Linked DNA regions of Mus musculus. Each later gene encodes a partner of the first gene's protein in a complex. Links are inferred from orthologs where the notes say so. Each region holds a gene or a part of one and is shown in the gene's direction. Other genes may lie near its edges. The genes, in order: Alyref, Sarnp, Thoc5, Thoc3, Chtop, Magoh and Thoc7.

Evidence for each region.
Region 2: Alyref (region 1) and Sarnp share a complex: the UniProt entries of both Homo sapiens proteins name them as parts of the transcription/export (TREX) complex. The link is inferred for Mus musculus from reciprocal best matches to the Homo sapiens genes ALYREF and SARNP.
Region 3: Alyref (region 1) and Thoc5 share a complex: the UniProt entries of both Homo sapiens proteins name them as parts of the transcription/export (TREX) complex. The link is inferred for Mus musculus from reciprocal best matches to the Homo sapiens genes ALYREF and THOC5.
Region 4: Alyref (region 1) and Thoc3 share a complex: the UniProt entries of both Homo sapiens proteins name them as parts of the transcription/export (TREX) complex. The link is inferred for Mus musculus from reciprocal best matches to the Homo sapiens genes ALYREF and THOC3.
Region 5: Alyref (region 1) and Chtop share a complex: the UniProt entries of both Homo sapiens proteins name them as parts of the transcription/export (TREX) complex. The link is inferred for Mus musculus from reciprocal best matches to the Homo sapiens genes ALYREF and CHTOP.
Region 6: Alyref (region 1) and Magoh share a complex: the UniProt entries of both Homo sapiens proteins name them as parts of the ALYREF/THOC4-EJC-RNA complex. The link is inferred for Mus musculus from reciprocal best matches to the Homo sapiens genes ALYREF and MAGOH.
Region 7: Alyref (region 1) and Thoc7 share a complex: the UniProt entries of both Homo sapiens proteins name them as parts of the transcription/export (TREX) complex. The link is inferred for Mus musculus from reciprocal best matches to the Homo sapiens genes ALYREF and THOC7.

What each region holds. Positions count from the first base shown.
Region 1 is NC_000077.6:120,595,285-120,599,718, reverse strand, and holds the start of Alyref (THO complex subunit 4), read left to right. Parts: upstream 1-1,353; 5' UTR 1,354-1,380; coding exon 1,381-1,614; intron 1,615-1,952; coding exon 1,953-2,084; intron 2,085-3,651; coding exon 3,652-3,799; intron 3,800-3,998; exon of another isoform or gene 3,999-4,111; intron 4,112-4,400; coding exon 4,401-4,434. Other genes in the region: Anapc11 (anaphase-promoting complex subunit 11), read right to left, coding at 351-459. UniProt on the Homo sapiens protein: Functions as an mRNA export adapter; component of the transcription/export (TREX) complex which is thought to couple mRNA transcription, processing and nuclear export, and specifically associates with spliced mRNA and not with unspliced pre-mRNA.
Region 2 is NC_000076.6:128,845,584-128,849,567, forward strand, and holds part of Sarnp (SAP domain-containing ribonucleoprotein), read left to right. Parts: intron 1-948; coding exon 949-1,000; intron 1,001-2,653; coding exon 2,654-2,727; intron 2,728-3,177; coding exon 3,178-3,206; intron 3,207-3,984. UniProt on the Homo sapiens protein: Binds both single-stranded and double-stranded DNA with higher affinity for the single-stranded form. Specifically binds to scaffold/matrix attachment region DNA. Also binds single-stranded RNA. Enhances RNA unwinding activity of DDX39A.
Region 3 is NC_000077.6:4,922,433-4,926,416, forward strand, and holds part of Thoc5 (THO complex subunit 5 homolog), read left to right. Parts: intron 1-2,315; coding exon 2,316-2,431; intron 2,432-3,613; coding exon 3,614-3,804; intron 3,805-3,984. UniProt on the Homo sapiens protein: Component of the THO subcomplex of the TREX complex which is thought to couple mRNA transcription, processing and nuclear export, and which specifically associates with spliced mRNA and not with unspliced pre-mRNA.
Region 4 is NC_000079.6:54,465,935-54,470,555, reverse strand, and holds the start of Thoc3 (THO complex subunit 3), read left to right. Parts: upstream 1-1,715; 5' UTR 1,716-1,748; coding exon 1,749-2,015; intron 2,016-2,573; coding exon 2,574-2,730; intron 2,731-4,171; coding exon 4,172-4,376; intron 4,377-4,621. UniProt on the Homo sapiens protein: Component of the THO subcomplex of the TREX complex which is thought to couple mRNA transcription, processing and nuclear export, and which specifically associates with spliced mRNA and not with unspliced pre-mRNA.
Region 5 is NC_000069.6:90,506,321-90,511,026, reverse strand, and holds the start of Chtop (chromatin target of PRMT1 protein), read left to right. Parts: upstream 1-1,528; 5' UTR 1,529-1,836; intron 1,837-3,400; 5' UTR 3,401-3,417; coding exon 3,418-3,482; exon of another isoform or gene 3,483-4,706. UniProt on the Homo sapiens protein: Plays an important role in the ligand-dependent activation of estrogen receptor target genes. May play a role in the silencing of fetal globin genes.
Region 6 is NC_000070.6:107,882,581-107,885,649, forward strand, and holds part of Magoh (protein mago nashi homolog), read left to right. Parts: intron 1-487; coding exon 488-598; intron 599-2,336; coding exon 2,337-2,419; intron 2,420-3,069. UniProt on the Homo sapiens protein: Required for pre-mRNA splicing as component of the spliceosome. Plays a redundant role with MAGOHB as core component of the exon junction complex (EJC) and in the nonsense-mediated decay (NMD) pathway.
Region 7 is NC_000080.6:13,958,001-13,962,750, reverse strand, and holds the start of Thoc7 (THO complex subunit 7 homolog), read left to right. Parts: upstream 1-1,547; coding exon 1,548-1,566; exon of another isoform or gene 1,567-1,687; coding exon of another isoform or gene 1,688-1,883; intron 1,884-2,534; exon of another isoform or gene 2,535-2,685; intron 2,686-4,750. UniProt on the Homo sapiens protein: Component of the THO subcomplex of the TREX complex which is thought to couple mRNA transcription, processing and nuclear export, and which specifically associates with spliced mRNA and not with unspliced pre-mRNA.

The sequences.
Region 1 (4,434 bases):
GGAACTTGCACTGTTTGGCTTTTTGTTTTTGTTTTGTTTTGTTTTTTGTTTTTTTTTCAAAACAGGGTTTCTCTGTGTAGCCCTGGCTGTCCTGGAACTCCCTCTGTAGATCAGGCTGGCCTTGAACTCAGAGATTCACTTGCCTCTGCCTCCAGAGTGCTGGGATTAAAGGCGTGCAACACCACTGTCCGGTGGGGTTTCGGTTAGGGTTAGGTAACTTGTCCTGTTGACCAGGCTAAACTCAAACTCAGAGATCCTCCAGTCTCTGCCTACCCAGTGCTGGGAAACCTAGGGATTTTTAGGCTGGTGGAGTAGGCTAAAGTTCTGAGAGCGCATAGGAAGACACTTACAGTCTGGACAGCAGCCATTAAACGCCATCCTGCAGATGCCGCAGTTCTCATCATTGGCTACCCAGAGCCAAGTGGCCACACCATTCCAACATTTAATTTTCACCTTCATGACAACAGAGCCTGTGACCTGAGGGAAGAGGATGACCTGGAGTTAGTACGGAATACGAAAGCACCTAAGCTCAAAGTCATGGAGCTGCGGCAAGTGCTGCACTCGTCAAGAACGGCATCTTCCAAAATTCCGTGCGTCCCGACCAAAAAGAAAGAAAAAGGCACGTGTTTGTCTTTAAAGACGGCAAGGAGAGCCTGTGGGATTAATGGCACGAGTTTATTTTGCCACCTTTAAGGATGCCTTTAAAGATCTGCACTCATGTAGTCTGGCACGGTGGCACACGCCTCTAATCCCGGGGCAGAAGCAGATCAGCCAAACAGGAAACGAAAACAAACAAAAAAACAAAAACAAAACCTCCGCATCCACGCAAAACATTGGTTTTCACTAACCAGGGCCTCGCTTTTAAAGATATGGAAAGAGTGACTGTCACTAATCCGCGAAGTTAAAGCAGGGGTGAGGACGCCAGCTCGTCAGGAGACCGAGCCTTCGAGCAAAAACAACCAAGTCGGACCCACGGACCGGCCGGGACCCCCACGATCGCACGGTGAGGAGGGACGCGGGACGCGCACACTGCGCTGCACCCAGGCGACGCCCGAGGATCTTCCGGCCTCCCAGGGAGGCGCCCGCAGGCCCCGCCCCCTGCTCGCCCTCGCACCTCCGCGGCCTAATCACGAGGCGCCCCGCCCTTCCGTTGCCTCCGCGCGGGAATGTATAAAAACGACCGCGCCGCGTCGGGCTCCTCCGAAGTAGCGCCAGCCACCGCGGCGAGCCGTACGCAGGCGCTCTGCGGAATCGCGCGCGCCCAGACCAATCGCCGCTCGCTTCGGGCCCGCGACGCCGGAAGGCAGGGGGAGGCGCCGGAAGTGACGCCGCGGCGTGCTGACGCGCGGGCTCGATCCGAGGCCCGAATCCGCGCCCGCCATGGCCGACAAAATGGACATGTCTTTGGACGACATCATTAAGCTGAACCGGAGCCAGCGAGGAGGCCGCGGCGGGGGCCGGGGTCGCGGCAGGGCCGGCTCCCAGGGCGGCCGCGGCGGCGCAGTGCAGGCCGCCGCGCGGGTGAATCGAGGCGGCGGGCCTATGAGGAACCGGCCCGCCATCGCCCGCGGCGCCGCAGGCGGCGGCAGGAACCGGCCGGCGCCGTACAGCAGAGTGAGTGCGGGGACCTGCGGCGCGGGCCGGGGAGGGTGCGCCCGGGCCGGCCGGGACCGGGTGAGCGTCCCGCGCGGGACCGCGGCCGAGGGGTGGGCGGGGGCGAGGCCGTCCCGAGGCCAGGATCTTCCGGGACGCTTTGTCCGGTCGTGGTCCAGCCTCGTGGCGGCGGGGGCCGCTGCGAGAGAACTTGGGTGTCCGTAGCGGAGCGGCGGGGCTGGGGGACTCTCGGGGCTCCTCGACCTTGGCCGCGGGGCCGACGGGAGAGCGTCGCCGAGGTGTCGCGGGCTCCCGGGACGAGTCTCACGAGTGTCTCTGTGCTTACGGTTTCTCTCCAGCCGAAACAACTTCCCGACAAATGGCAGCACGACCTCTTCGACAGCGGCTTCGGGGGTGGAGCCGGCGTGGAGACCGGCGGGAAGCTGCTGGTGTCCAACCTGGACTTCGGAGTGTCAGATGCTGATATTCAGGTAGGAGACGGGAGCTCTCCGCTTTCCTCGTCCCACGCGGACGTGGGCTCCAGGATCCTTTACAGATTGGAACCTGCCCTCCCCTAGGCTGCCCAGAGCCAGCCACTGTCACCCTGAGAGCCTTGGCCTCAGAAAAAGTAGGGTTTGAGCACGACCCCATAAGCCAGGCTGCAGGAAGATGTCACACACTGTGTGTGTATGTGTGTGTGTGCGCGCGCCCCCCTAAAAATGAGTCCTGTCTGCTGTCCAAACTGTGAGCGCCTGCCCTGTGCCAGAGCTTACAGTTTCTAACCTGCACAGACTGGCCACAACTCCGGTCCCAGCATGACCGAAAGGTGCTTGCTTCTCAGATTTATGCTCGATATGGTGAACTGATAGGAGAAGGAAGTCCAGCATCTCCCAGATGCTGAGAAAGGTGGCTGAGAGTATCTTCCAGCCTGCGTCTCTGTGCTGGATCTTAACTGGCGATCTTTCCTGGGTCTTACCTGGGTCATGGTTCTCCATGCCTTCGAAATATTTTTTTTCTCTTCCCCTCCCTTCTTGGATTTTGTGTCTTTTTAAATTTCTTTATAAACTGGACCTCAGAGGCATTTAGAGTTCTCTGGTTACAAGGCATAATTTTGGGAATTAGCTTTGATATAGCCAGAACTGAGTCAGGTGTGCTGGGCCTTTCTGGGTACCGTTCCCCAGAGCCCAGCTGTTTGACCTCCCCATGGGAGAAAAGAACAAGGCTGGTGAGCACTCACAGTGTCTCAACACTTCTTTTTTTTTTAAGATTTATTTATTTATTTTTATGGATTTGAGTACAGTGTCACTCTCTTCAGAGACACCTGAAGAGGGCATCAGATCCCATTATAGATAGTTGTGAGTCACATTGGTTGCTGGGAATTGAACTCAGGTCCTCTGAAAGAGAGCAGCCAGTGTTCTTAACCCCTGAACCATCTCTCCAGCCTGTCTCAACACTTTTTTTTAAAGGTGGTTTCTGGCATCCACTGGAAACTGCTTTAGCTAGCTGTACTCCCCACTGTGTGCCTGCAGCTGAAGTGCCTTACTCTGTGGGTTCCCTCTCCAACTCCCAGCCAGGACAGGTTCCATGCTGCATTTCACTTCAGACTTGGCAGCAGCAGGCAGTAGGAGGAAAGGGGAAGGTGAGCTAGAACCTGCCTTTGCAGTAGGGGCTGTGTCACAGTTCCCCAAAATACTGGGCCCTTTGCGTTGTCTGCTCAATGGACAGTTTTACTATTGGCCTCTGGTATTTAGTGAAACGCAGTTAGTCAAGTTGAAAGTACCCCTGCTGAGAGAGAGTTTTGTAGTTTTGTCCTGTGATAGGACTTTGTGTCTTCCCTCATCTACAGCATGGTGTAATTACATTGTCCCACAGTGGACAGTAACCCAGTTGTTCGCGACAGTTGCTGTCTCCCCTTCCCTCAGCTCTTAATCTCCACTGCCTTGCCTTCTTCCTGGGTGGCTGTCAGTCAAGTACCTCTAAAGCATAAGGACTTACAGCAAGTGTTGCTGAGCTACAAGAAGGAAATTGGCTTAATTGCTAATTTTTACCCCTTCCCAGGAACTCTTTGCTGAATTTGGGACATTGAAAAAAGCTGCTGTGCACTATGATCGCTCTGGACGAAGTTTAGGGACAGCAGATGTGCACTTTGAACGGAAAGCAGATGCCCTGAAGGCTATGAAACAGTACAATGGTGTCCCTTTGGATGGTGAGTCTGGGACTGGGCCCTGGATGCCTGTGGGGCGTGTGGAGTTTGGGGCTGGCACCTCTCCCTGTAGGAATCTGGGCTGCCCCCCCCCCCTTGGCTGAGGATACTTTGCATTTGCCCCTTTGTCTCTCTCTTCCATTCTGCCACCTCTCATGCTGCCCCACACATCTGGACCAACCTCTTGTGAACCCCCATCCAGCAAGCTACATCCCTCCCCTCCTTGAGCTCCTTCCGGAAGATTCACTTCTGTGAAGCCTTCTCAGAACCGCCATAGTACAACCTGAGTGCGGGGCTGTAGTCGTAAAGACAAAGGTACCTGTTCTTCTTCCGTCAGGTCACCCACACCTGTCTGCCCATGAGCACCCTGAACACCTGACCAAACAGCCCTCCTAGCCTGAACTGAGAAGGAGTGAGGAGGTGTTGGTGGGGTTATTATTATTGCACTTTATTTTCCCACCAGGCTCTCCAGGCCATTTACCTTGTTGGGGGCATTGGAGACACACAGAGCCCTTTCCAGAGCTTGCATGGAGATCAGGGTGTGGTGCCCTCTGAGTCAGCTTCAGAGCCTCTGGAGTGAGACTTCTTGTGTTCTTTACCATAGGCCGCCCTATGAACATCCAGCTTGTCACATCACA
Region 2 (3,984 bases), on another chromosome or scaffold:
TGTGTAAATATACTTCTCTATCTTGTTTTAAGTTTTTTTTTCTCCTGAGCCAAAACAAATATTGTAGGACTTCCTTATGGTCAGCAGGGGGCATTCTTTGCTTGCCTGTTAGTCTAAGGACTTCCAACAAAAAGATGGAGGAGAATCAGGTTCCAGAATTGCTTCCTCTGAAAATGTCATTAAACCATTACTACCTTTCAGGGCATCAAATGGGAAAAGTGTTTGGGATATTGGAACAAAAGCTGCCCATGTCTCTAAATAAGGGACCTTAATGAGACTGGTTATGACCCGCAGTTTTATGGGAGTTGTTTGTTGGAGAGTTAATGCCCTTCCATTTATCCTGGGGACTTCCGAACTTTGTCTCCTGCCCCTGCGGTCCCCCTCTTTTGTTTTCTCTTAAGCCTTTTGACCAGTAACTCGCCATGTTTTCCTAATTCAGCCTTTCTTCTCCCACCCACTTCCTGTGGCATTTTTATTTGTTCTGCTTTGACGGTTTCAGCTAGAGCTACAATCCCACGGGAGCAATAGGGACTTATAAAAGAAGGAAATCAGGGCTGGTTCAGCGCTAGTTAAATATTGTGATAAAAATTGAGTTTGTATATAATTGGAGGTTGGAGATACAGTTCTTAGTTCAAAAGTAACTATAAAGTGTCTAAAAGCAAATGAAATGACTTATGTGTGTGTCCCTTCATCCCTGTATTTTTAGCCTGACTTCTTTGCTGATTATGGTCTCGAACTTCAGTTAAAATAACTTAGTTTTATTTTAATTTTTCTTCTCAGTTGATGACAGTTCAAGGAGTCAGACTTGTTATGGACTTCATGTTTCTTTGGATTAAGGGGTGGTAGACACATGTGGGGCAGAGGATATAACTCAGGTGATTCTTGCACATTTCTAATGCTTTGGGTTAAGATAGCAGTTTTCTGACTTTTAAAAATCTGTCTTCTTAGGGCATCGGAAAAGAAGGTGGTAAAGATTACATCTGGGATACCTCAGACTGAAGTAAGTATTCTTTTTTAAATTTTAATTGAGGTGTGGGTGGGGCTGTGAATGCATAAATGCCATGGTATATGTGTGGATAGAGGACTGCCTTCACTTTGTTGAGGTAGAGGTCTCTCCTTTAAAAACATTTTTTAAAATTACATTTTATTTATATATGGGGGAGCCGTGTTTGTGTGCGAGTGCGCTTGTGTAGGTCAGAGGACAACTTGGGGGAATTGGTTTTTCTTCTAGCATGTGCGTTGCAGAGATAAAACTTAGGTTGTCTGGCTTGGCATTAAAGAACATTACTCACTGAACTATCTTGCTGAACTTAGTCAGGACTCTTGTTTCCAGTGCTGTGATGTGTACACCAGGCTAGCTGGCCCATGAGCTTCCAGAAGATGACAACCTCCCATCTTGCCACAGGAAAACTTGGTTTATAGCTGTATACTAGCACATTCTGCCTTTACATGGGCTCCTGTTATCAGACTTGCACAGCCTGCACTTTCAACTACTGAGTTCTCATTTTTATATTTATTTTTTGTTCCTTAGAATAGCAATTTACTTTGTAGCTCAGGTTGGCCCCAAACAAAATCTTTGTACTTCAGCATCTCGGGTGTTAGGATTCTAGGTATGTGCCACCATGCCTGGCTGTTCCTGTTTTTAACCTTTTCTCTGTCATCATCATTATGTAAAATTTTCATTTAGGGCTGTTAAGTTGGCACTCTGGGTAAAGATCTCTGTGGCTAAAGCCTGAGTTTGATCCATGTAAATAATTTATTCATAGACAAATTATTTAAGGGAATTAGGGGAATATTGACAATTGATGTTTCTTTCTCCACCAACTCAGGAAAATATTTGGACTGGCATAGTGAGTTGTTATCTTTAAGCTGTCATAGATTACATATACCACTGTAGCCTTAATAGTAACTTAATAAGTCTATAGGTATAGGATTAGAGTTTGAGAGGATTGTGTGTACTTTGGAAAAATAGCAATGGCAGATACTCCTTTAAGTTGTTAGTTGTTAGCTGGTGAGAGTGAAATTTCTTTGGATTCTATCTCAAGATGTTTGAAATCAGGTTTCATTTGAGATCTTGTGTTCAGTTTTGTACTTTCAAGGTAGAGGGGTTGTTGTTGTTTTTATACAGGGTTTCTCTGTGTAGCTCTGGCTGTTCTGGAACTCACTGTGTAGACCAGGCTGGCCTCGAACTCAGAGATCCACCAGCTTCTGCTTTTTGAATGCTGGGAGTGTACCTCTATGCCTGGCTTATAGTTGAGATTTATTCACTTCTTTTAGAATTCAGGCAGGAAGTGATGGTGGTGGTGGTGGTGGTGGTGGTGTTTTTAGATTACCTGTACTGGAACCAATATGCTCCTTTGATATACTATCCCCCCCCAAGATACACTTTTTCAAACAAGATAGAACTTTTGGGGTTTGTGTAGAATATGGATTTTATTCTTTTTGTTTTTGAGAATGTGAATACGGGGAGAGAGAGAGATTAATTGATTGATTGCTTTCTAGAAACAATTGTTGTGTTAAGCCTTAGAATGGCTGCTACCTGATATGGTCTAAAGTTGTCAGTATTTCCGTTAGATCTTAAGAAATGACCATAACCAATTTTTTTTTTAAACAAGAAATTACAGTTTTAATTTTTTCATTTAATATCACTTAGAGAATGCAGAAGAGGGCTGAACGATTCAATGTACCTGTAAGCCTGGAGAGTAAGAAGGCTGCCCGGGCGGCTAGGTGAGTGCTTCTACCTGTTTGGATACAAGATAGAAATGTTATGGTGGTGTAGGGGGTCAGATCTTTGTTTCTTGTTATAGTTGTTGGTTTTCAGTAGAAGTGTTTTCATTGAACTTAATGAATACAGTTTGGGTCATACTCAGGACATTTCTGCTGATTTGGATGTTATAGCTTTCACTGAGTTTTGCCATCTTTGGTCAGGGTTTTTATGATAGGTAAAAGTCAGGAACTGGCAGCTGCTCCTGAGTCTGAAGAGTTCGTTTAGTGGACTCCTGGACTGTTGGTGAGAAGGAGAGTAAACTGAACCTCTTTCATGGGGTTGTTAGAATTAGCTAATGATTGCAAAGTTTGAGATCACAAGAAAGAAGTGTCATGCACCCTTGACACGGACACAGACAACTAAGGGTGTGAACAGCTTCCTAAAATTTAGCTTGTTTTTTCTTCTTACAGGTTTGGAATTTCTTCAGTTCCAACAAAAGGTGAGAATACAGAGGTTCTTCTGAGAAAGTTTACTTTGGGTTTTTTTCTGACTATAGATTTCATTCCTCCAAATTAGATAACTTTGTTGGCTCTAGAAGCCCTTAAGAGGCTCTGCATTTGTACCCTTCAGACCTCATGAATAATCGAGAGAACGTCCTGAAGTTATGGGGAGGAGATCGCACCATTGGGTTTCTTTTTTAGGACTTCTGAGAAATCTTTAGTACCTTGTTCATTTATTTTTGTGTCTTACTAGCATAAAACTATGTGTACTTTTTTAGTGCTCTGAGCTAACATAGTATTAAAGTGAAGGAGACTGTATTTAACTTCACAATTTTGTTTTTAAGAATTTATCAAGAAGTAACCTCTGATATACTTAAAGACTTAGCCATGAGGCTTGTGTTACCACCATATATATTGATCAGTAAATTGGAAAAAAAAACATGTATCCAATACAGTATTAACTGGTTAAGTGTAAACTGTAGTATATTAGACTATGTAGAATGTTAAAAACGATATGTTAAGGGCTGTGGAGATAGCTCAATGGGTAAAGTGCTTGAAAAGAATTTGATCCCCAGAACTCACATTTAAAAAAAGAAATAAAAAAGCAGGCTATGTAATGCGTGCTTATAATCCTAGTGGTTGGCAGGCAGAGGCGGGTCGGGTACCTGGGCTCTGGCTGGTCGTCCTGACTAATTGGTGAATGTTAGGCTAATGAGAGACCTCTCTCAATAGAACAAAACAAAGTAAACAGATCCTGGGGAACCATACCTGAGGTTG
Region 3 (3,984 bases), about 120 Mb from region 1:
GGCCTTATCCCACTCACTAGCTGAGGAAAGTCTGGCCGGATCAGAGCTTGGTCCCACCTCAGCTTTCAGCTTGGCTTTGCTTTGTTTTAGTTCTCCTTCATCCGGCTAACAGAAGGGCAGAGCTGTTCCTTAGATGGTAAAGACTGGATAACAGAGACCCTCCCTTCTCCACAGTCCCTCTGGAGTCATGGACCTCTGTGCTTCCTTCCTCTTCTGACATCTGATCCTGCCAGGGCCTTCCACAGGGGTCACTGACATCATGCACAGGCGTTAGGCTGTTATCCTACCCCTGCCTCACAGCAACAAACACTGGGCTGAGAATGTCCTTCATTCTTTGATAGGTTGAGTGATGTAATAGCATTTGTGGGCTGGGGATATAGTTCAGGGGTAAAACACTTGCCTAGCATACCTGAGACCTTAGATGATTTCCAGTACCACAAAAGATAAATTAAACAGAATGTCCCAAAGCTGGAAGCATTATAAAGAAGAGCTTATTTAGCTCAAAAGTTTGTGGGTTTGCTTGTTACAATTTTTATTAAATTTATTTATAATGTACGTGTGTGCACTCAGATGTAAGACACACTCGCACGTATGCACACGAGTTATATATCAGAGGACGGCTTGAGGGAATCACTTCTTTGCTTCAGCCTTATGGGTTCTAAGGATCAAGTCGGGTCGAGGTGTGGGAGCAGGCACTGTTACCTTCTGAGCTGTCCCACTGGCCCGCTTTGTTTGTTTCTTTGTTTGTTTCGTTGAGACAGAGTCTCATGAGGCTCTAGCTGGTCTGGAACTCACAGAGATCTGTCTAACTCTGTTTTAATTTTGTCCTTGAGATCAGCTCAAGCTGGCCAGAATCCATTATGTAGTCCAGGCTGGCCTTGAACTCCCCATCTGCTTTTTTCTTAGCCTCCAGAGCACTGGGATTGCGCACATGAGATACCATGCCTGGTTTAGCTTTACTATTTGAAGGCTGAAAGTCCCAGGTGACCTGATGACAGCCTCGTGGCAGGTGATAATGTAGAGATGTGGAGAAGAAGGCACAGGTGAAAAGGAAACCAGAGGGAGTTGGGAGCTAATTCTGTTCTATAGCAGCGTTCTAGACACTAAGCAGAGTCCCAAGGCCCTTAATCCTTTTAGAAGGCAATTCCCTCTCATCCAAAACCCAGCTACCTCTCACGAGAGCCCGAGTCTTCAGATTCAACTGGGCAGCAGCACAGAGCTACCAGCTTCTTGTATAAATATCTTTGGGTAATGCATATGAGCCAAATCAGAAGGACCAATCCAAAGCCGTCTGGGAGCCAGGAGAGGGCTCGAGGTTAAAGCGCTTGCTGCACAAACCTGATGACCTGAGCTTGATTCTCAGAAGCCACGTCAGCATGTGGAGTGCAGTGCAGTGCAGCTCTAATCCCCGCACTCCTGGGGGAAGAAAGGTCAAAGGCTGTCGCCAGAGGGGAACTTACTATATGGAGATAGTTTATTCACCGATTATGAAAGCAGATTTGATGCCAGGCTGTTCCGGTTGAGCTCAGTCCTGTACTTCTGCAGCTCCTTACTGGTAGAGAAGTTTCTGTCAGAGCCTCACAGTGACAGATGTGATATGAGGAGCTGGGACCATTTGCCGCTAGTCCTAGGTGGGAGTCAGAGCAGGAGGATCAGGAATTCAAGGCCATCCTTGACTATAGATTGAACTTGAAGCTAGTTTGGGCTATGTGAGACTCTCAACAGCAACAACAACAAATTCTTGAAAGAAAGAAAAGGAAGGAAGGACAGGGAGGGGGAGGGAGGGAGGAATGAAAGGAAGAGAGGGAGGGAGGGAGGAAGGAAGTGGGGAGGGAGGAAGGAAGAGGCTGTAGAGATGGCTCAGTAGTTAAGAGCACAGGCTGCTCGTCCTGAGGACCTGAGGTCAATCCCAGCACCTACATGGCAGCTCACAACTGTCTGTAACTTCAGTCCCAGGGGTCCAGTGCCCTCTTCTGCATCCCAAAGGTGATGTATGCATGTTGGTGCCAATATACATGGAGGCAAGCAACCAAACACAGGCATACACACACATGCACACACGACGTTCTCGAAGTAGCAGGGTTTTTAATCCATTGACAAACCCCAGCAAGTAGAACAGGCTCTTTGGGGGAACCAGAGTCGTTGTGCCTTACACTGGGGACCTGGCAGCTCAGCTTGCATCCTAAAGCAGTCTATACCAGCATACTCAGCAGCACTTCAGTTAGAGGAGCCATTTGTGTTGGCTCTGGACACGTGTGGAGATCACCATGGAATGCTGGGTAATCACTGAATGTCTGCCTCTCCCTTCTTCTCAGCTAAACTTCAGGCTGCTGTGGTACTAAACCCTGGCTACTCCTCCATCCCACCGGTTTTCCGACTCTGTCTAAACTGGAAAGGGGAGAAAACCAACAGCAACGATGACAATATTCGGGTAAGGCCCACGTGGGTGGCAGGAGACCAGGGAGAGCCCTAGAGAGGTGAGCAGTGGCCAAGCCTGCAGTTGCTGAGGCTGTGGGCAGTGTCACTTTCAGGACAGGGCCTTACCAGGATTTACAGAACGTGCTCACCGCTTAATTTCCCTGACCCACAGCTTTTCCCATGTAGTACTGTTAGCACTGTTAACTGGCAGTGTCTGTGTACCACTCCAGTACCTGACTGGGGGTGACGAGGGAAAAACAGACACACAGACAGCTGCAGTCCAGTGTCTGACTCGGCTGGAGAACCCTTAGCCCACCCCCAGGCCCGGCATGTTTACTACGTAAGATTGCATAGGGAAGCAGGGCTACAGAGATGGATCGAGGAGGCAGGCTTAGCCAACCTCAACAGGAGCAGGCTGTAGGGAGCCATCTCCAGGCTGTAACTACCCAGAAGGAGAAAGCTGTGGTGGACACTTTGTGTCCACACCATCAACATCTACACACAGATGAGAAGAGAAGGCTCTGGCATTCCTCCTGGCCTCATATCAGGCAGGGGGAGGCTTTGCTGTACTTGGTGGGTCTGGGGCTAGGGTCCTAGATAGGCCAGTTCATGTCAACAACACACATCCACTCGGGGTCTCCTGCACTTAGGGTTTCCTGCACTCCCTTCAGCAAGGTGTGCCGGCACACACTTTTAATCGCAACACTGGGAAGACAGAATAGACAGATCTCTAATCTCAAGGCCAGCTTGGTCTACATAGTAAGTTCCAGGCCAGCCGCCTAGTGAGACCCTGCCTCCAAAAACACCCAAAAGGTTTCTTGTCACCTTGGGCTTCTGTGTGATGGTAAATAAGCTCAGAAGTATTATAGAAACTCAAATTCAGTGAGAGTGAGTGCTGTAGTGAGAGTGAGTGCTGTAGCTACTGTCAAGGACAAGTCTCTTGGTGGCCACAGAACATGTCTTCCTCTACATGTCCATGGTCCTTGCTGGAGGTGGCGAGGTGGGTGATAATCAGGAGGGGCCCATTGTCTTGAGGAGACGGGGTCTCTGGACGAGGTTGTAGCCCAGCTGTGTACAGATCCTGTGCAGGCATCAGCAGGAGATCTTGTGGTACCGTCAGGCTCAGCCATGAGGTAAAAGTGCTCGGCCATACTGCGGAAGCAAATGCTGAGGGTCTGGCTTCCCACCCACACAGGCTATGGAGAGTGAAGTCAACGTGTGCTATAAGGAGTTGTGTGGCCCTCGGCCCAGTCACCAGCTCCTGACCAACCAGCTGCAGAGACTGTGTGTGCTGCTGGACGTCTACCTGGAGACCGAGAGCCACGATGACAGCTTCGAGGGCCCCAAGGAGTTTCCCCAGGAGAAGATGTGCCTGCGGCTTTTTAGGTGAGTAGAGGGCTGGGCTCTTGTGACTTTCCTCAAGGATGTGAACAGAGATCGCAGTCCTCTAGAAGACTAGGTCTCATTGGACAGGACCTGGCACACAGAGAGGGCATCTGTCTTTGTGGCAGACAATTCTGCAGCCAGATTTCCAGGAAACACTTGTTTTCTCTTTCCTGAGACTTC
Region 4 (4,621 bases), on another chromosome or scaffold:
TTATTTAGTAAATATTGGGTGCCTACTATGTGCAAAATACCAGTGGAGGGGGCCAAGACTGCTGGGTCATAAAAACAATGGAATGACAGATTTCAAGAAATTATATTCAGGTAGGGAGATAGCTATTACTGAAAGTAACAGAAGAGAATATGTAGGGAAAATACACAGGAATTCCAGTCCCAGACAGAGTACAGAACACGGTATTCAGGGATAGACCCATTTAAAATGATTTCATGGATATGCATGTGTGAGTACACGTGTGTATGTGGGGGCCAGAGGACAACACGGAGGTGGTTCTGAGGCACCATCCCTTGTTCTGTTTTGAGAAAGGGTCACTCATTAGCCCGGGACTTGCCAAGGAAGTTAGACAGCTAGCCAGTGAGTCCTAGGGATCTGCCTGTCCCTGTCTCCCCAGTGATGGGGTTATAAGCCTGCGACACCACAGCTGGCTTCATAAGGACATTTTCACACGAATATTTGTTGGATATATTCCTCTGGTGTCCCCTATCCCTGCACAGTTCTTCTCCAGTGCTTGGCGAATCCTGGCTGTGCACCATTGTTTTTTTCCACCCGGGTATCTTTTGGTTTAACAGAGACATAAGTGGGAGGATCAGAGATGTGAGCATGGCACACAAAATGGTCATTGTACTTTCCGCTATTTTCTTTTAGTTTACTATCATGTATATACAATATCCTTTAACAACCAAGATCAAAAGACAGAAAAACGTCTTGGGAGGCAGAGGCAGGCGGATGTCTGTGTGTTCGAGGCCAGCCTGGTCTGTAGAGTGAGTTCCAGGGCAGTCAGGGATACACTGAGAAGCCCTGTCTTCAAAAACTAAAAACAAAAACAAAACCCCCGAACAAACCAAATCTCAAATTAACCGAACAACTTTTCCCAAGTCCAACCGACAAACCCACATTTCTTTTTTCTTTTTTTTTTCTTTTTTTTTTTTTTTTTTTTTTTTTTTTGGTTTTTCGAGACAGGGTTTCTCTGTATAGCCCTGGCTGTCCTGGAGCTCACGTTGTAGACCAGGCTGGCCTCGAACTCAGAAATCCGCCTGCCTCTGCCTCCCGAGTGGTGGGATTAAAGGCGTGCGCCACCACGCCCGGCTCAAACCCACATTTCTTATCAATTCCTTCATTCCACAAACATCTAACCTTTCTCCAGGAGCGACAACTTGCAATGGCCTTTTGCTTTAAGGGCACGATGAGGACCTTACAGTGAAAAACAACTCTAGAAAAAAGATATTTTACATGCAGGTAAACTGGAGGATTTATCTTGACTCTCTTTTTTGAATAAGCAAGGCTACCAAGAAACTGGTAAGAAGACCATTTAAAAAAAAAGTTGAACTCTTGGTGGGGGGTGGGGAGGGGGAGGGAAGCAAGTCGGGCAGTGGTGGCACACGCCTTTAATCCCAGCACTTGGGAGGCAGAGACAGGCAGTTTTCTGAGTTAGAGGCCAGCCTGGTCTAGAGTGAGTTCCAGGACAGCCAGGAAACAAACAAAGAAACCCTGTCTCGAAAACAAAACAAAACAAAACAAACCAAACAAAAAAAAGCGAATTTAAGGAAGAATCAGTCCTATTTCAAAAGGGAAAGGTGGACGCGCGCTGCATGGCGGGATTTGTAGTTCCGCGAGTGAGAGGCGCCAGCGCGGAGCGACGCGGCGCTTTTTCGGCGCATGTGCAGGGCGACGGCGCCAGACTCAGAGTATCCAGCTTCCGGCGCGCGGTCCGTGAGGAGGGAGGCATGGCGGCGCCCGCTGCGGTCCTGGGCCCCTCGGCCCTCGGCCAGAGCGGCCCCGGCTCGATGGCGCCCTGGTGCTCAGTGAGCAGTGGCCCGTCTCGTTACGTGCTCGGGATGCAGGAGCTCTTCCGAGGCCACAGCAAGACGCGCGAATTCCCGGCGCACAGTGCTAAGGTGCACTCGGTCGCCTGGAGCTGCGATGGCCGTCGCTTGGCCTCGGGGTCCTTCGACAAGACTGCCAGCGTGTTCTTGCTGGAGAAGGACCGGCTGGTGAGCTTGTAGGGCACGGGCTTGGCGGAGAAGAGGGCTGTGTGCGGAGGGAGAAAAAGCAGGAGAGGTAGGGGTATGGCCTGTCGTTGGCGGTGATGAGGAAGGGGTTTGGGGCTGGAAGAGTTGGAATGACGAAGGGGGTGAGGCTGCCTGGCGGAGAGCAGAGAGCGAACTTAGTGGCAGTAAAGAGGTGTGGCGACGTGGCTGCGGGCCGGGGGAGGTTGAAGTCAGGTGGCAGAAAGTGGTGAGGGTCTAGAAGAGCCCTGGTGACGAGTGGCTAGGGACTAATGGGGTGGTAGAGCCCCTAGGGTGGAGAGGAAGGCTTTATTTGAAAATGATAGCGCAGGACAGGTTGGTTGAGGTGGTGGTGGAAAAAGAAAGAAGGGAGGCCAGGAAGGGCCAATGTCAAAGCTCAGAGAGGTTCATGGGGGGGGGGGGGAGGGGGTGTTGTAGTTTTGGAAAAAGAATTAGATTTCTGTTTTGAATTATCCAGATCTTTGCTGGTTTCAAGGCACCACTGTTTGGATAAAAGTGGCATCTGGATTCTGTTCTTTTAAGGTCAAAGAAAACAACTACCGGGGCCACGGAGATAGTGTGGACCAGCTTTGTTGGCACCCAAGCAACCCTGACCTCTTTGTCACCGCATCTGGAGATAAAACCATTCGCATCTGGGATGTGAGGACTACAAAATGCATCGCCACTGTGAATACGAAAGGTGAGTTCAGAGAGAGGGGGTTCTGGAGGAAAAGCTAGTGTGATCTGCAGCAAGCATCTTTGTAGCAAGTGCAGGTTATCAGGATGGGTTGTATGTGTCTGTCTGGAGAAGACAGGAACAGAACAGAGCACTTTTCTGGCAGGCTGTAGATGTATAGGAGAGCAGTGGAAACTATACAAGAGTAGTATGTGCAGAGGCGTGGAGAGTTTGGGAGATTCAGGCAGGTTACAATGGCTGAGAAACCATGGGCGATCTGGAAAGTTGTGCGTTTTGTTTAAAGGCTGTGTTCAAAGAAGCAGTGTGGTAGTTTGAGTAGGCTTGGCCCAGGGCATGGCACTATTAGGTGTGGCCTTGTTGGAGGAAGCGTGTCACTGTGGGTGTGGGCTTTAAGACCCTTATCCTGGCTTACCTGGAAGCCATTCTTCTGTATGCCTTTGGATTAAGACGTAGAACTCTTAGCTCCTCCTGCTCCATGTCTGGTTGAATGCTACCATGGTCCCACCTTGATGATACTTGACTGAACCTCTGAACCTGTAAGCCAGCTCCAATTAAATGTTGTTCTTTATAAGAGTTGCCTCGGTCATGGTGTCTCTTCACAGCAGTAAAACCCAAAGTAAGGCAGGCAGTTTTGTTGATTTTAGATTTTTTTTTTAATTTTCATCTGTGTGTGTGTGTGTGTGTGTGTGTACGTGTGTACGTACACGTACCACATGTGTATAGGTGCTGGAAGAAGGCGTCTTGTCCTCTATAAATGTAGTTATAGGTGATTGTGAATTGTGGGTACAGGGAATTGAACTTGGGTCTCCAGGGAAAAAAACCCAAGTGTTCTTAACCACTGAGCCATTTCTAGCCCCACAGGGGAGAAAATGTGTGTGTGTGTGTATACACACACACATACATATATATACATATATATGTACACATATATTTTTGAGGGGGAGACAGGGTTTCTTTGTGTAGCCCTGGCTATCCTAGAACTCACGGTGTAGACTAGGCTAGACTCATGAACTGAGAGATCCACCTGCCTTTGCCTCCCATGTGCTGGGTTTAAAGGCATGTATCATCACCACCAAGCTCCCACAATAGAATTCTTGATACACCTTCTGATAGATTTTTAACTGCACTATAGACAGTAAAGTACAAAAAAAAAAAAAAAAAGGTGTTTTGAAAAAAGGTTTAATGAAGTTGAAAATTTTAACCTGTGTTCAGTGTGGACACGCGTGACTTTGATGAGACTGGTGCCAGGGGTTGGAGTGGGGAGGTGCTTTGACAAATGTCTAGACTCACGGTCGCCTCTTGGTCATCGGAAGCTTCCTTCCATTGATTTGGTGAGGAATAAGTGCTGAAGGTAGCTCTGATCTTCTTTCCAGGAGAGCAGAATAAACTCTGGAGGCCGATGGGCAAAGGTGAGCTTGCTGACGGATTATATCTGGGTTCCCAGGGGAGAACATTAACATCTGTTGGAGTCCCGACGGGCAGACCATCGCTGTGGGCAACAAGGACGACGTTGTGACTTTCATTGACGCCAAGACACACCGCTCCAAAGCGGAGGAGCAGTTCAAGTTTGAGGTCAATGAGATCTCATGGAACAACGACAACAACATGTTCTTCCTGACCAACGGCAATGGTTGCATCAACATCCTCAGGTGAGGCACTGGCCGGGGTTGTCAGACCTCTGCAATGGCCACCCTGCCTTGCAGGGAGGAGTTAACTGTGAGCCTGTCCCAAAAGACTTGAAAGATAGAGAGAGTATTAAAGAAAAAAATCCTACCTTCTTTTAGGCATTCTGGATTTTATGAATTCTTACTGATACTGATTATACATTTTTCTGTTGATCCTGAGGGAACTGAGGCTTGTAAACATTCAATTATTAGTCAGCCAGCCCAGGATA
Region 5 (4,706 bases), on another chromosome or scaffold:
TCTGTACCCTCTGGGCATGGCTATGTGTGAAGTAAGGGGTGCTCACTCCCAACACCTTATCTTGTCAAGTTTACATTAGTTCCTTATTTAAGGAACACTCAAAACCCAGAAATGTAGGGGTCCGAAAATTTTAGCTGGAATCCAAGTGTCATTGGCTTCTCAAGGATTTGTATGAGTAATTGGTAATACCAGGACTTGAAGGATGAGGCAGGAAGATTTTGAGTTCCAAGCCAGCCCATACTACATAGCCAGAAACAGAAATAAACAAGCCATCAAAAAATGTGGGGCTGGTGAGATGGCTGAGTGGGTAAGAGTACCTGACTGCTCTTCCAAAGGTCCGGAGTTCAAATCCCAGCAACCACATGGTGGCTCACAACCATCCGTAACGAGATCTGGTGCCCTCTTCTAGTGTGTCTGAAGACATCTACAGTGTACTTACATATAATAAATAAATAAATCTTTTTTAAAAAATCTGAAGAAAGCTAGAAATGGTGGCACGTACCATAGTTAACACCAGCTCAGCACCTGGGACGTAAAAGGCAGGAGGATCTCTGTGAGTCCAAGCCCAGCCTGGTCTGTATAGAGAATTCTAGAACAGCCAGAACTACATTATAGAGACTCTGTCTCAAAAAAACTACCAGAGGCAGTGGTGACACACGCCTTTAATCCCAGCACTCGGGAGGCAGAGGCAGGCAGATTTCTGAGTTCAAGGCCAGCCTGGTCAACAGAGTGAGTTCCAGGACATCCAAGGCTACACAGAGAAACCCTGTCTCGGAAAAAAAAAAAAAAAAAAAAACAACAACAAAAAAACAAAACCAGAAAACAAAACCAAAAAACTACTAGAAGAACTTTTTCCCAAGCTTCATTCAGTGTTTATTGATGCCTCATCATTGCTAGACATTATGTAAGAACTAGGGATACATAAGTGGGGATACAGATTTGCTTTATTGGATTACTTGAGGTAAAAAGACCCACCCTAAAACTAGCCACATCTTCTAGAGGCAGTCCCTATAAAAGGATGTAGATGAGTCCAGTGTGGGTCTTAAATCCCAGTACTGGGAGGGGCGGGGTTAGGGGGGGTCAGGAGGTGGATCTTTGTGAGTTCGAAGCCAGTCTGGTCTACACAAAGGAAGCCTGCCTCAAAAAGAAACAGAAACTCTACAAATAGGTTTGAGGGCCTGAGCAAATTAGCCAGGTCTCAAGGTCCTAATAAAGACTTTTTACAGTTGTCTTTAGCTTGGGAATGGGAAATAAAAGGATACAAACACTGTTGCCAATCTAAGCTGCTATTTGCAAGCCAAAAATCCCACCAAAGTGGGGCATAAACTTGTCCAGAAGGTAGTCTAGAGGTACTTAGCGATTACGGCCACTGGCCACGCCCCCGAAGGCGGAGCACTACACGTAACTTAAGGGATCTTTGCCAAAGTCAGTGGGGATTCGCTGCGATTCTTGCGCTAGGCCAAAGGACCATGTTGCCACGCCCCTAGTTGCGCGCGCACTGACGCAAGCCCGTCGGCGCCATTTTAGCCGGTCACGCTGCACTGGTGGGCCCGGCGGCCATTTTGTTTTGGACACCAAGCGGGAGTTGGCGGCGCCGGCTCTGGGGGCCCAGACGAAAGGCAGGAAAGGGCAGGCTTGACGAGCGGGAGGATCGGTCAGCTAGATACTCAACCCACAACGAGGAAGCCTCACATCCTACCGTTTAAGCATCTAAGCCAACCGCCCAGCTAGTTAACCCGAGCGGCCCGCCGTCAGCTCAGGTTAGGCCGGCCTCCGGGCCGCCCGCCGCAGCCGTGGTGGCAACCCCGGGAGGAGCGCTGGCGTCCATCTCCTTCGGTGAGTTTCTGTGGAGAGGGCAGAGGTGGAGGGGCGCGGGGTCCGGGGCCCGGTGGCGTGGGTGGCAGGTGTGGACCGGGCTGAGGTGCGCAGAGGCCGGGGAGGGGGCGGAGCCGGGAGGCGGAGGCTAAGCCGGAACCGCGGCCAGCGAGCTGGGCCGCTAGCCGTGCGGGTGCTGCTTGTGGTTGGCGTGTCTGGTGCAGGTGCTGGTGCTGGTGGTGCTGGTCGTAGTGGTTTGGCCTCAAATCCAGTGTCTTGCTTACCTAGATAAGCGTCCTCCATCGGAGCCAAAGCCTCGCCCCAGAATAGCGTTTGATGGGGATAACCACGGAAATAGTCGCCTGATCAAAGTTGGAGTCCTGAGAGGCTTCGAGGTGGAGGTCAAATGAGGAGTACAGGAATTAGCGGCGGCTCTGGGTGTTCGATTTTGATTCTTTTTTTTTTTTTTTTTTTTTTTTTTGCGGCACCGAAGTTGAACCCAAAATCGTACTTTGGCTAAACTAGCGCCCCGAGTTAACATCTCCAGCTTTAAAAATAATAATAATCTTAGTTTGAAACAGGGTCTGTCAAATCACCCGGGCTCGCCTTGAGCTTGTGACCCCCTTGCCTCAGCCCCTCCCCAGTATATGCCACTACAGTTAAAATATTGTGGTGTGCTCTTAACAGAGCTCTCAGATTGAATACCCATTTAGAAAACCTCTTCTGTCTTTCCCCTGCCATGTCTAACTAGAGCTCCACCTGCATTTGGAGTTGAGAATCGATTTTGAAACTAGGCTTTTCTTTTTATTTTGGGTGTATGAGAGTCCGGTCCTCACAGTGTGACAATGTAACCCGTTACAGCCTCAGACTGTTACACCACTCCCCTGTTGCTGCTGGGAATTGAACTTCCCAGGGCTTCATCAGTGCTAAACAAGCACTCTACTGAGGAGCTATATTCCCAGCTCCTCCATTTCTCTAGATCCATGACCCTCAACTTTCTATAGACATGTAAGATGTACCTGGGTAGCACCCCCAATCCCAGTTGCTGTACCCCATCCTCATGGCCAGATTGTACTTTAATTGGTCTGGATCCAGGCATCAAGAATTTAGTTTAGTTTGGGAGGGACTTTTTCTTTTTTTTTTTTTTTTCAAACATTCCTCAGCTAAGTCACATACAGTCCAGGCTGAGAAGAACTATTGAAAGCCAAACTCCTAGGCTTTGGCTACATCTCATTCTGCTATTTTGGAGACTTTGGCAGATGTTCTCCATCCTGGAGCTTTGAAATTTTTATAACTATTGTATGGACGTAAGCCCCCACCTCACAGGGTTTCTCTTAGGTAGCCGTGGCTGTCCTGGAACTTGCTATGTAGACCTGGCTAGCCTCGAACTCAAAGGGAGCCACCTACCTCTGCTTCAGGAATGCTGTGACTAAAAGTGCACCACCACCACCACCTGGCAAACTTAAGATCTCATGATACCATCTTCAGAGTTAAAAATATAGGCCTTTAACAGATTTATGCCTTGCTTCTTGTGAAAATGCAAGCTTCATTATTTTGATTGACTCATGCATATTGTCCTTTGTAGATTCTCGGGATTTGAAGATGGCTGCACAGTCAGCGCCGAAAGTTGTGCTAAAAAGCACCACCAAGATGTCTCTAAATGAGCGGTGAGGCAGCCAACAGCAACTTCAGCTCCTTCCTAAGAAAACATTACTTAAATTGACCCTGGGGTCCAATACAAAAAAAGCCAGTTGTAAGCTAAATGACAGAAGGCTACAGACCTCTGTTCTTAATTGCATCTAATGTGGTACAAAACAAATTGGGCAGTTGTTTCAAAACCCCTTATCAGTAGATTTTTATATTAAGCTATCTGAAATATTTACCTGGTGGGATATATTTTTTAAAAGACTCCTCACACCCTCCCTTCAATTTTTTTTCCTAACATTGATACAGGGGTGGTGCAGCATGATGGTATGGTATATCCTGGCTGCAAGAGGCTTGCTGCCTAGTCCGAGGCCAGCAGTGTTGTGTCTGGCCTGTAAGAGGCAGGTAGCAAGCCGAGACTATGTCCAAAGGCCCCTGAATGGCATTCTTGGGCCTTGTAAGAGGCACTTGCTTTGCTCCATTTCACTTTCTTCCCATTCTGCTTTTTAGTTTGTTTTGTTTTGAAATCTTTCATCAGCTGTGTGTTTACTTCTATTAAACTTAATCATAACAGGAATGATAGAATAATGTCCTCTTAGGCTCTTAAGCGACTTAACTAATTTAACTTTCTCAGAAGTCCTGAGTCAGAAAGAGTGGTTATTTGTATTTAAAGGCAGTTTTTGTTTCTGAGAATTTCATTTATTTGGTGTCTTTCACCATTTTATTATGTTGTTGCTAGAACTCCCAAGGCATTTAATTTAGTGCCTGTGTTTGCTTCAGAAGCACATGTGCTTCTCTGTTCATCTTTTAAGATGTGATACATTAATTTCCTGTATTCATGTGTTACTAAGTAACATGTTAGAATGTAATAAACTCCCATAACTCATGAGTCTGTTATTTCAGTGGACTTTGAAGGTGCTCTGATCCTTCCTCCTGTTTGTCCTTTGAATGAACTTTCACTCTCCAAAAGTGTCGGCATTTCTGTTTGTCTTTGTAACTGCATCTCTGTTTCTTGTCATCATATTTGCTTACTGCGTGTATTTCATGCTTTCCACTTCTCTTAAGAGCTGTTACCTGAGCCCTTGTTATCGCTTCTAATTGTGCTGCCCTTGGCTGCATTTCTGAGTTTCTGGTTCTTGCAAGTTTGTGGAAACAGAGGAGTCTTTAACCCACATCAGCCTTGATCCAAATGTGCCACTTTAAAGTTCGTGGGATCTGGAGCTCCTGGTCTAGCAAGCCATGAGAAT
Region 6 (3,069 bases), on another chromosome or scaffold:
CATTAATTCCCACCTCTTCAAGGTCTATACCATTTCCCATAGTACCACCCTGAGGACCAAACCTTTAGTCACATAAATGGAGTTGGGAAGGCCACACTGAAATCATGTCCAAGCCATAGAGTAAAGGTGTATCTCTGTCCATTTGCACTGCTATATTAAAATGCCTGAGACTGGGTACAAAGAATAGATTCACCTCTCAGTGAATTCCAAGGCCCTGTCAGGTTGGTTGTGTGGTGAGGACCCCATCTGTTCTATATGGTGTCTTATTGCTGTAGCCTCCCAAAACAAACTTTGTTCTTCACATGACAAAGGGGCGAAAGGGGACCAGATAATTCCCTTGCCTCCTCTGCCCTTGAGCCCTGATCTTTACTAAAGGCTGTGCCTCTCACTCTTCTCACTATTACTTTCTGAGTTGGATGTTGTTGGGGTGCGGTGGTTTGAAGGAGAATGGCCCCTTTAGGCTCATACATTTTAAACTTGATTGCAGGCTTATGTGCATAAAAGTGTGATGGAAGAGTTAAAGAGAATTATTGATGACAGTGAAATCACCAAAGAAGATGATGCTCTGTGGCCCCCTCCTGATCGCGTGGGCCGGCAGGTGAGTGCTTTATTGACTCTACTTTGTACTTCTTACAAAGAGGAGGAGGACTGCTGCTCTATGGGAGGAGGGGTCCCTACAGAACTAGGAATACCCTGTTCTAGGGAATCATTAATTCCATGTTGGTGTTGGGGATGGAACTCAGGTCCTCTAGATGGGCAATCAGTGTTCTTAACTGAGCCAACTTCCCAGTCCTTTATTACCATTTTGATAACTAAAAAAGTACAAGATAATTCCACCTTGTGTGCTACTTACTCTTGTATTCCAGACTTCTGTAGTCTGTGTTTCTCCTGTCTTGTATAGCCCCATGTTTCTATCCTAATGCTAGGGGTGTGGAGGCGGGGGAGGCCTAATTGTGGTGGCGTACACATCTAATCCCAGCACTAGAGAAGCAGAGGTAGGCGGGTCTCTGTGGATTCTAGGCCAACCTGGGTCTGCTTAGCAATTGTAGGCCAATCAAAGTTATATAGTGAGACCCATCTCAAAAAAGCAAAACAACAACAACAACAAAAAAAAAACCAAAACTTTTTTTTTTTTAAAGGAAAAGATTTATAAATCTGACTTCATTAAAGTTAAAACTTAGCTAGGAAGCCGGGCGTGGTGGCGCACGCCTTTAATCCCAGCACTCGGGAGGCAGAGGCAGGCGGATTTCTGAGTTCACACCTTCAATCCCAGCATTCAGGAGGAAGAGGCAGGTGGATCTTGAGTTCAAGGCTGGCCTGGTCTGCAGAGCAAGTTCCAGGACAGCCAGGACTATACAGAGAAACCCTGTCTCAACAAACAAAAAAACTCTTAAAAGTTGTTTGATAAAAGACATTAAGACAAAGTTGAAACAAACCACAGACTGGGTGAAGATGCTTGGAAAATGTATTTAAACCAATAAAAAGATAACCTGGGGTAGGGGAAATGTTGCAAAGGTTACAAGTAGACAGTATATAGATTCAAATAATAGCCAGCAAACACAGAAAAAATTTACAGCTGCAGTTGTAACCTGCAAAAGTAGGAGAACACTTAAAGTCTCACCCAGGTCTTCAAAGGCATAGAAGGAGCCACTACACTGCTGGTAGGAGTGGAGTGTCCGTGCAGCCCCATCGGCAGCCATGTGGATAGGAGCTAACAGAGTGGGACTTCAGACCTAGCCCCAGGGCTGGCACAAATGTTTACTGAGCTCAGCCCCCAGACCTAGAACATTCTTGCCACATCATTTATAGTAACAGAACTTGGGAACTTAGGTCCATTCAGTAAGGAAATGGCATGTTGAGAGCATTTACGTGTTGAGCAGCTCAACGAGGGTAAATCTTAGACACGGTGTTGAATGAGAAAGGACATATACACGTGTGCTGTGGCCATTTATTTAAAAAGCAAGTGGAAGGAATGCACAGCAGTTTTAGGGGCTGTCAGAATAGAGTGGGCGACAGGCATTAACCTGTGTTTCTTTTAAAAGATGGGGATGGGGAGCAGCAGACGGATCAGTGGGTAAAGGCCCTGAGGGCGCACCTGGCGCTATGTTCAATTTCCATAGCCCAAGTAAAGGAGTAAGGAGAGAGCGTCCACAGGTAGTCCTCATCCCTCCATGCATATGCATGCCTACATGCATAGATCTTACACACACACACACTGCAAGCACAAAGACCAGAGTGTGGTTGAGCCCTCGTCCTGTATGCTTGGTGAATGAACCAATACTGTCTGACTTTGAGAGAGATATAATTTCTTCTTTTTTTTTTTTTAATGTTTTTAGGAGCTTGAAATTGTCATTGGAGATGAACACATTTCTTTCACAACATCAAAAATTGGTTCCCTTATTGATGTCAACCAGTCCAAGTAAGCATGCATGACATTTATCATCAGTTGTGTCTGTTGTTGGAGATTCAACCACACGAGGCCAGCAGAGAAAGATGTGCAGACATAACACAAAAGTGGATGGTGTGGCCGGGCGTGGTGGCGCACGCTTTTAATCCCAGCACTCGGGAGGCAGAGGCAGGCGGATTTCTAAGTTCAAGGCCAGCCTGGTCTATAGAGTGAGTTCCAGGACAGACAGGGCTACACAGAGAAACGCTGTCTCAAAAAAAAAAAAAAAAAAAAAAAGTGGGTGGTGTGGTCCTCCTCATAGGGGCTCCAGGTCACAGTGGTTCAGTATCATGGAAGGGTTGGTTTCAGGAATTCTGGTACTAGAGTCTTTAGTGCTTAATTTCCTTATATAAATTAGTGTCATGTTTGCTTGAAGCCTATGTACTTCCCATATAAGTCATCTTTATAAAACCAAATTCTGGGAAATAGCCGTTATAATGTATCGCTTAGGAAATGATAAGAGAAAATGTCTGAACATACATGTGACAGTTGGAAACCCCATAGACCTAACTATATCCACTCATGGCTGAGCCCACAAATGCAGATAGAGTTGGGCCAGTTGTATTTTCAGAAGTTGCTTCTTGTAGTTAATGTAGTTACTACTTCTCAGTGACATGGAAGAA
Region 7 (4,750 bases), on another chromosome or scaffold:
CACACCACCCCGCTGAATTTAAGATTAATATTACCCTCCTTCCTACGCCAAGGAAATGAACATGGTCCAAAGTCCAAGTTAGGAGGAGCCTTTAGACCAGTACTCTTTCAAAAAGTCAGCGAGCAGTTCCACATTTGGAAGAGGTCATTTATGCTTCAAAATCTTCATTCAGGGTAATTTCTGCCTTTGTGACAAAAGTAGATACTGTATTTGACCCATACATAGTTCTGCCTAGAGGTTAAAAACCACCTCCCTTGAATGATCCCAAGTCTTCCGCTAGAAAGAACTGAGGGAACACAGGGCCGATGCATGGATCCCACTTAAGAAATCTCAACAACCAAAAAATGACCCCACACCATTGCCTTATGCAGGATCTGAAGGTTCAAGGGATTGGGATCATGAAAACTGATAAACAAAAACCTGGGTTATAAAGTCAAACTCTACCCTGTTGGAGGTCAAATCAACTCTCAACAGGAACATGGTTCCACTAGGAGAACATTCCTCAATGTTGAATCAAAATGATTTTTTGTTTTGTTTTGTTTTGTTTTGTTTTTTTGTTTTGTTTTGTTTTGTTTTTTGTTTTTCGAGACAGGGTTTCTCTGTGTAGCCCTGGCTGTCCTGGAACTCACTTTGTAGACCAGACTGGCCTCGACTGCCTGCCTCTGCCTTCCAAGTGCTGGGACTAAAGGCGAGCGCATTCACTGCCCGACTCCCCCCCCCCCCCCGGGAGGGGGGTGGTTTATTTCATTTTTCAGAAGAGATGACACTATAACCTGCAGTGTGTTCTAGAAATGTGTACTCCGCACCCCCAAGTAATGTGTTTGCAATGAGCAGCACCCCCACCCCCAACACCTACTTTCAACTTCCCTTTAAGAAGCAGTTTTTGAAAAGCAAAGTTAGTATGAAAATGAAGGCACCCCATCTGGATTCCAGCAGCGAGGGAGAACTGGATGAGAGGTGAGAACCGGAGGGACCTGAGCCCTGGGTCCTGAGTGACGCTCCCCAGACAGGTGACCAAGTTTCTTTCCCCCGCTTCGCCAGCACCCGCCAGAGCTCAGGAAGGGAGGATGGCTTGCCGCGCCCGCCTCAAGAATACGGGTTCGAGACCCACGGCGGCAGTGGCCGCGCCCCCGTCCCACCGGAGCGCACGGTCGGGGCAGCCCGGGACAGAGGTCACCTGGAGCGTCAGGCGCGGAGCCCCGCGAGCGCGCGCAGCCCGAAGCTCACCTGGCGGCTGGCCGCGGCCTCCAGGGCGGCCTGTGGGCGCGGGCAGGGCGGGACGGCGGTGTCCCCGGGCCCAGCCGCCGCCGCCCGCCCTCCCGCCGCCCGTCTCGCCCTTCACCCGCCGGCCGCTCCGCGCCCCAGGAGAGCGGCGAGCGCGGGTCCGCGGCGGCGCGGCGCGCGCGCCGGCGCGACTCAAAAGTCGGAGAGGGCGGCGGGCGCCGCCGCCTCCTCCTCCATGACTGTTTACCCGGCTGCATTGTGGGAGTTTGACCTTCGCCGCCAACCGCCGCCTCAGCTCGGCCGCCGCCGCCGCCGCGCACGCCATGGGAGCCGTGACTGACGGTGAGGCCTCGGCGGGTGCGGGGACGCGGGGCAGCGCCGGGATCCGGGCCGTCTGGGGTGGGGGGCTCCCGGGGCGGTGCGCGGCGGGGAGAGGCGCAGGGCGGCTCGCTCGGCCCGGGCGATGCAGTGCCCCGAGGGGGCCGCCTGGGGGGCTTCCCGGGCCGGGCTGGGTCGGGCCCACGGGCAGCGCGGCGGGCCCCAGGGAGCGCAGGAGCTCGGAGGGCGGTGGAGTGAGGACCCCGAGCTGGGGACGGCGGCTAAGAGGAACAGGGGTGTCTGGAGGGCCGGTCGGGAAGTGTATCTGGGCGACTTACAAGGTAAGGCGCCAGCATGGGAAGAGGCCGGCGGCTTGGACCGCGGCAACAAAAGGAAGGCATGTTGGAGCGGGTGAGTTGTTGGCCTGAGTGGATTAGGAGTGATGGATGGTGGACAGTAGATGTCTGTGGGCTGAGAGCAGAAATAAGAGCGCGTTTGGGAGAAGGATGGACTGACACGATAGGCAACTGGAGCAGGAACTGAGAAGGTACCCGCTTTGGTAGAAAGGTTCCGGTGGCTTGATGTTGTTTGATGGGCTGATCAATAGCTATGGATCCCAGTGGAGAAACAGGGGACTTCCAGAAATGAACAACGATCGGCCCAAATTTGAGGACGGGCCGAGGAAATACCGATGTGGGTATAAATAAAGGCCTCGGAACTTGGTAGGGGGGATTTTAACCTTGGTTTTGTTTTTTTTTAATTCGAGTTTAATTTATTCAGGAAGTACTTAGCTTACTTCTAGGCAATACTTTACTGAACACGTTTGATACCCAGAAGCAGCAGGTAAAGGTGTTTCCTCTTATACGTCTGCAGTGGCTGTAAACATTAAAAATTGGTAGGGTGGCTGTGTGTGTGTGTGTGTGTGTGTGTGTGCGCGCGCGCGCGCCTGCCTGCCTCTCTTTGAGCTGTCTCTGCCTCCCTCCCTCCCCCAGGCAGGCCACCCTACTAGAGTGGCAGTCAGAGGACACTTGCTGAAGTCACTTCTTCACTTCCACCAGATGGGTCCTGGGAATTGAACTGAGGTGGTCTTTCTACTGGTGATTAGAAAACTTGACAAATTTGCTTTCCCCCTTCCTTTGAAGGGTAAATAGGTGTTTTAAAACTGGAATTACAAGTGACCAACCACTTGCCAAAATGATGAAAGAAATTCAAGATGGCATATAGAACTTAGAAAACTTTACACCATGAAATTTCCAAGATCAGGAAAAGCCAGTGAAAGGGTTTTTGTTGTTATTTGGTTTGGTTTTGAGACAAGGTCTTGCCAGGCAGTGGTGGTGCACACCTTTAATCCCAGTACTAGGGATGCAGAGGCAGGCGGATTTCTGAGTTCTAGGCCAGCCTACACAGAGAAACCCTGTTTCAAAAAAACAAAAAGAAAGAAAAAAAAAAGATAGAAAAAAAGAGACAAGGTCTTTCTATGTAGCTCTAGCTGTCCTGGAACTCACAGAGATTCCCCCTGCTTCTGCCTCCTGGGTGCTGGGACAAAAGGCACATGTCACAGCGTCCAGTCATTGAAAGTTTTAAACTGTTACTGTGATGTGATCACATTTGCTTTTATTTAATTAACTGACGCCTTTGTTTGCAATGCTGAGAGTAGAACCCATAGTCCTGTTCATTAGAAAACTGTTTTACATCCTGATCCAAATCTTCAGCACCAGATGTGCGTTTACAATTCACAGACCCATTCTACTCTTTGGAGAATATTGAGGAAATGGGAAGGGGGTTGCAGACATCACTCTCTCTTTCACTAACATTTATATAATATTTTGCAGCATGTGTTGCACAGTGTTCTAGTTATCCCCATTTTATAGATGAATCCAGTACCCAAAGGAATTAAATAACAGAGTTTCAGTGAGTTAAAAACCAACAGAGTCTAGAAGAGTATTCAGTCCTGTGGGGCTGAAGAAGGTGCAGGTAGTAGTGAACTGGTATGTAGGTACTGGGATTGAGCTCAGTCCCCGTGGGAGAACAGCCGGATGCTCTTAACTGCTGAGGCCGATTTCAGCCCAGCTAGCGTGGTCTGATTTTAGCCCCTTCTGTAGTGGGTTAGTGGAAGGTAAGGGGGTCTTTGATCAATATGACAAAACTCCAACTGAGGGAATTCAAAAAGTGAACAGAACTCATAGAGAATGTCAGGACTGCTCAGATGCGGGAGCTCAGAGGTTATCTTAGGTTTCTGACTTGGACGATTCTGTGCCTTGCTCCAAAAGAGGACTGGATTCTGCTGGTGAGAGAAGGAAACTTGAGCCCCTAGTCCTTGGAGGCCAGAGGAAGCCCCACTTTACATTTACAAGCTTCTCCCCTTTGTGGAGGTTACCCAGCTTCTTTGAGACTCAATTTTCTGCATTGATGAAGAAACAATAAAAGCTACCTTGGAGTGGTGTTTTGAAAATGAAATGTAGTAAAAGTTATAAAGGACTTTGTACTGAATCAAATACATACTAAAGTTTAGTAAATATTCCTAAACACAGAAGTTGTTTGCTAACCTCTTTCCACTTCTCTATGTAACCTCTTTCCACTTCTCTATGGAGAAGTGTGTCTCTATTAAGTGCCCCTTCCTTTGCTTTGGGGGAAGAAAATTGAACTGCAGTCAGTTTTAAATAAGCCATCAGCAAATATGAGGTGCAAGGTTCAGGGGAAGGTTAGAGGGAGAGATGCTGGAACATAGATATCAGTAACATGTGTGTCACTATGTGTATATGCATGTTACTAGGGGTTGAACCAAGAGCCCTTTGCATGCTAAGCAAGTAATCTACCACTGAGCTAAGCCACATCCCCAGCACTGGGCATCATAGGTGAGAAAATGGAATGGACTGATAAAGAGCCAGTCAAATTCTACCTCCTCTGAGGTGTATGTCCTTCTAACTAGACACCTCAGTGTGCTGAATGGGTGCTAATTCTACACCAAAAGTGCAAGGCTTCCCATTCTCAGAATTCACTCACATCTTGTGTACAAATTGCTCACACCTTTTGTACGAGTAATTGTTGCTGTGATAATGAAAATAAGTGCTAGTCTTTGTTAGTGTTTAATTGAGTTGATCTTAATTTAATTGATCTTTAGAAGACCTCTGTAGGCATCAAACCCAATTACAAAATAGTGCAGTCAGTCTGGGTGTGGTGACTCACGCCTCCTATCCCAGCACTCCAG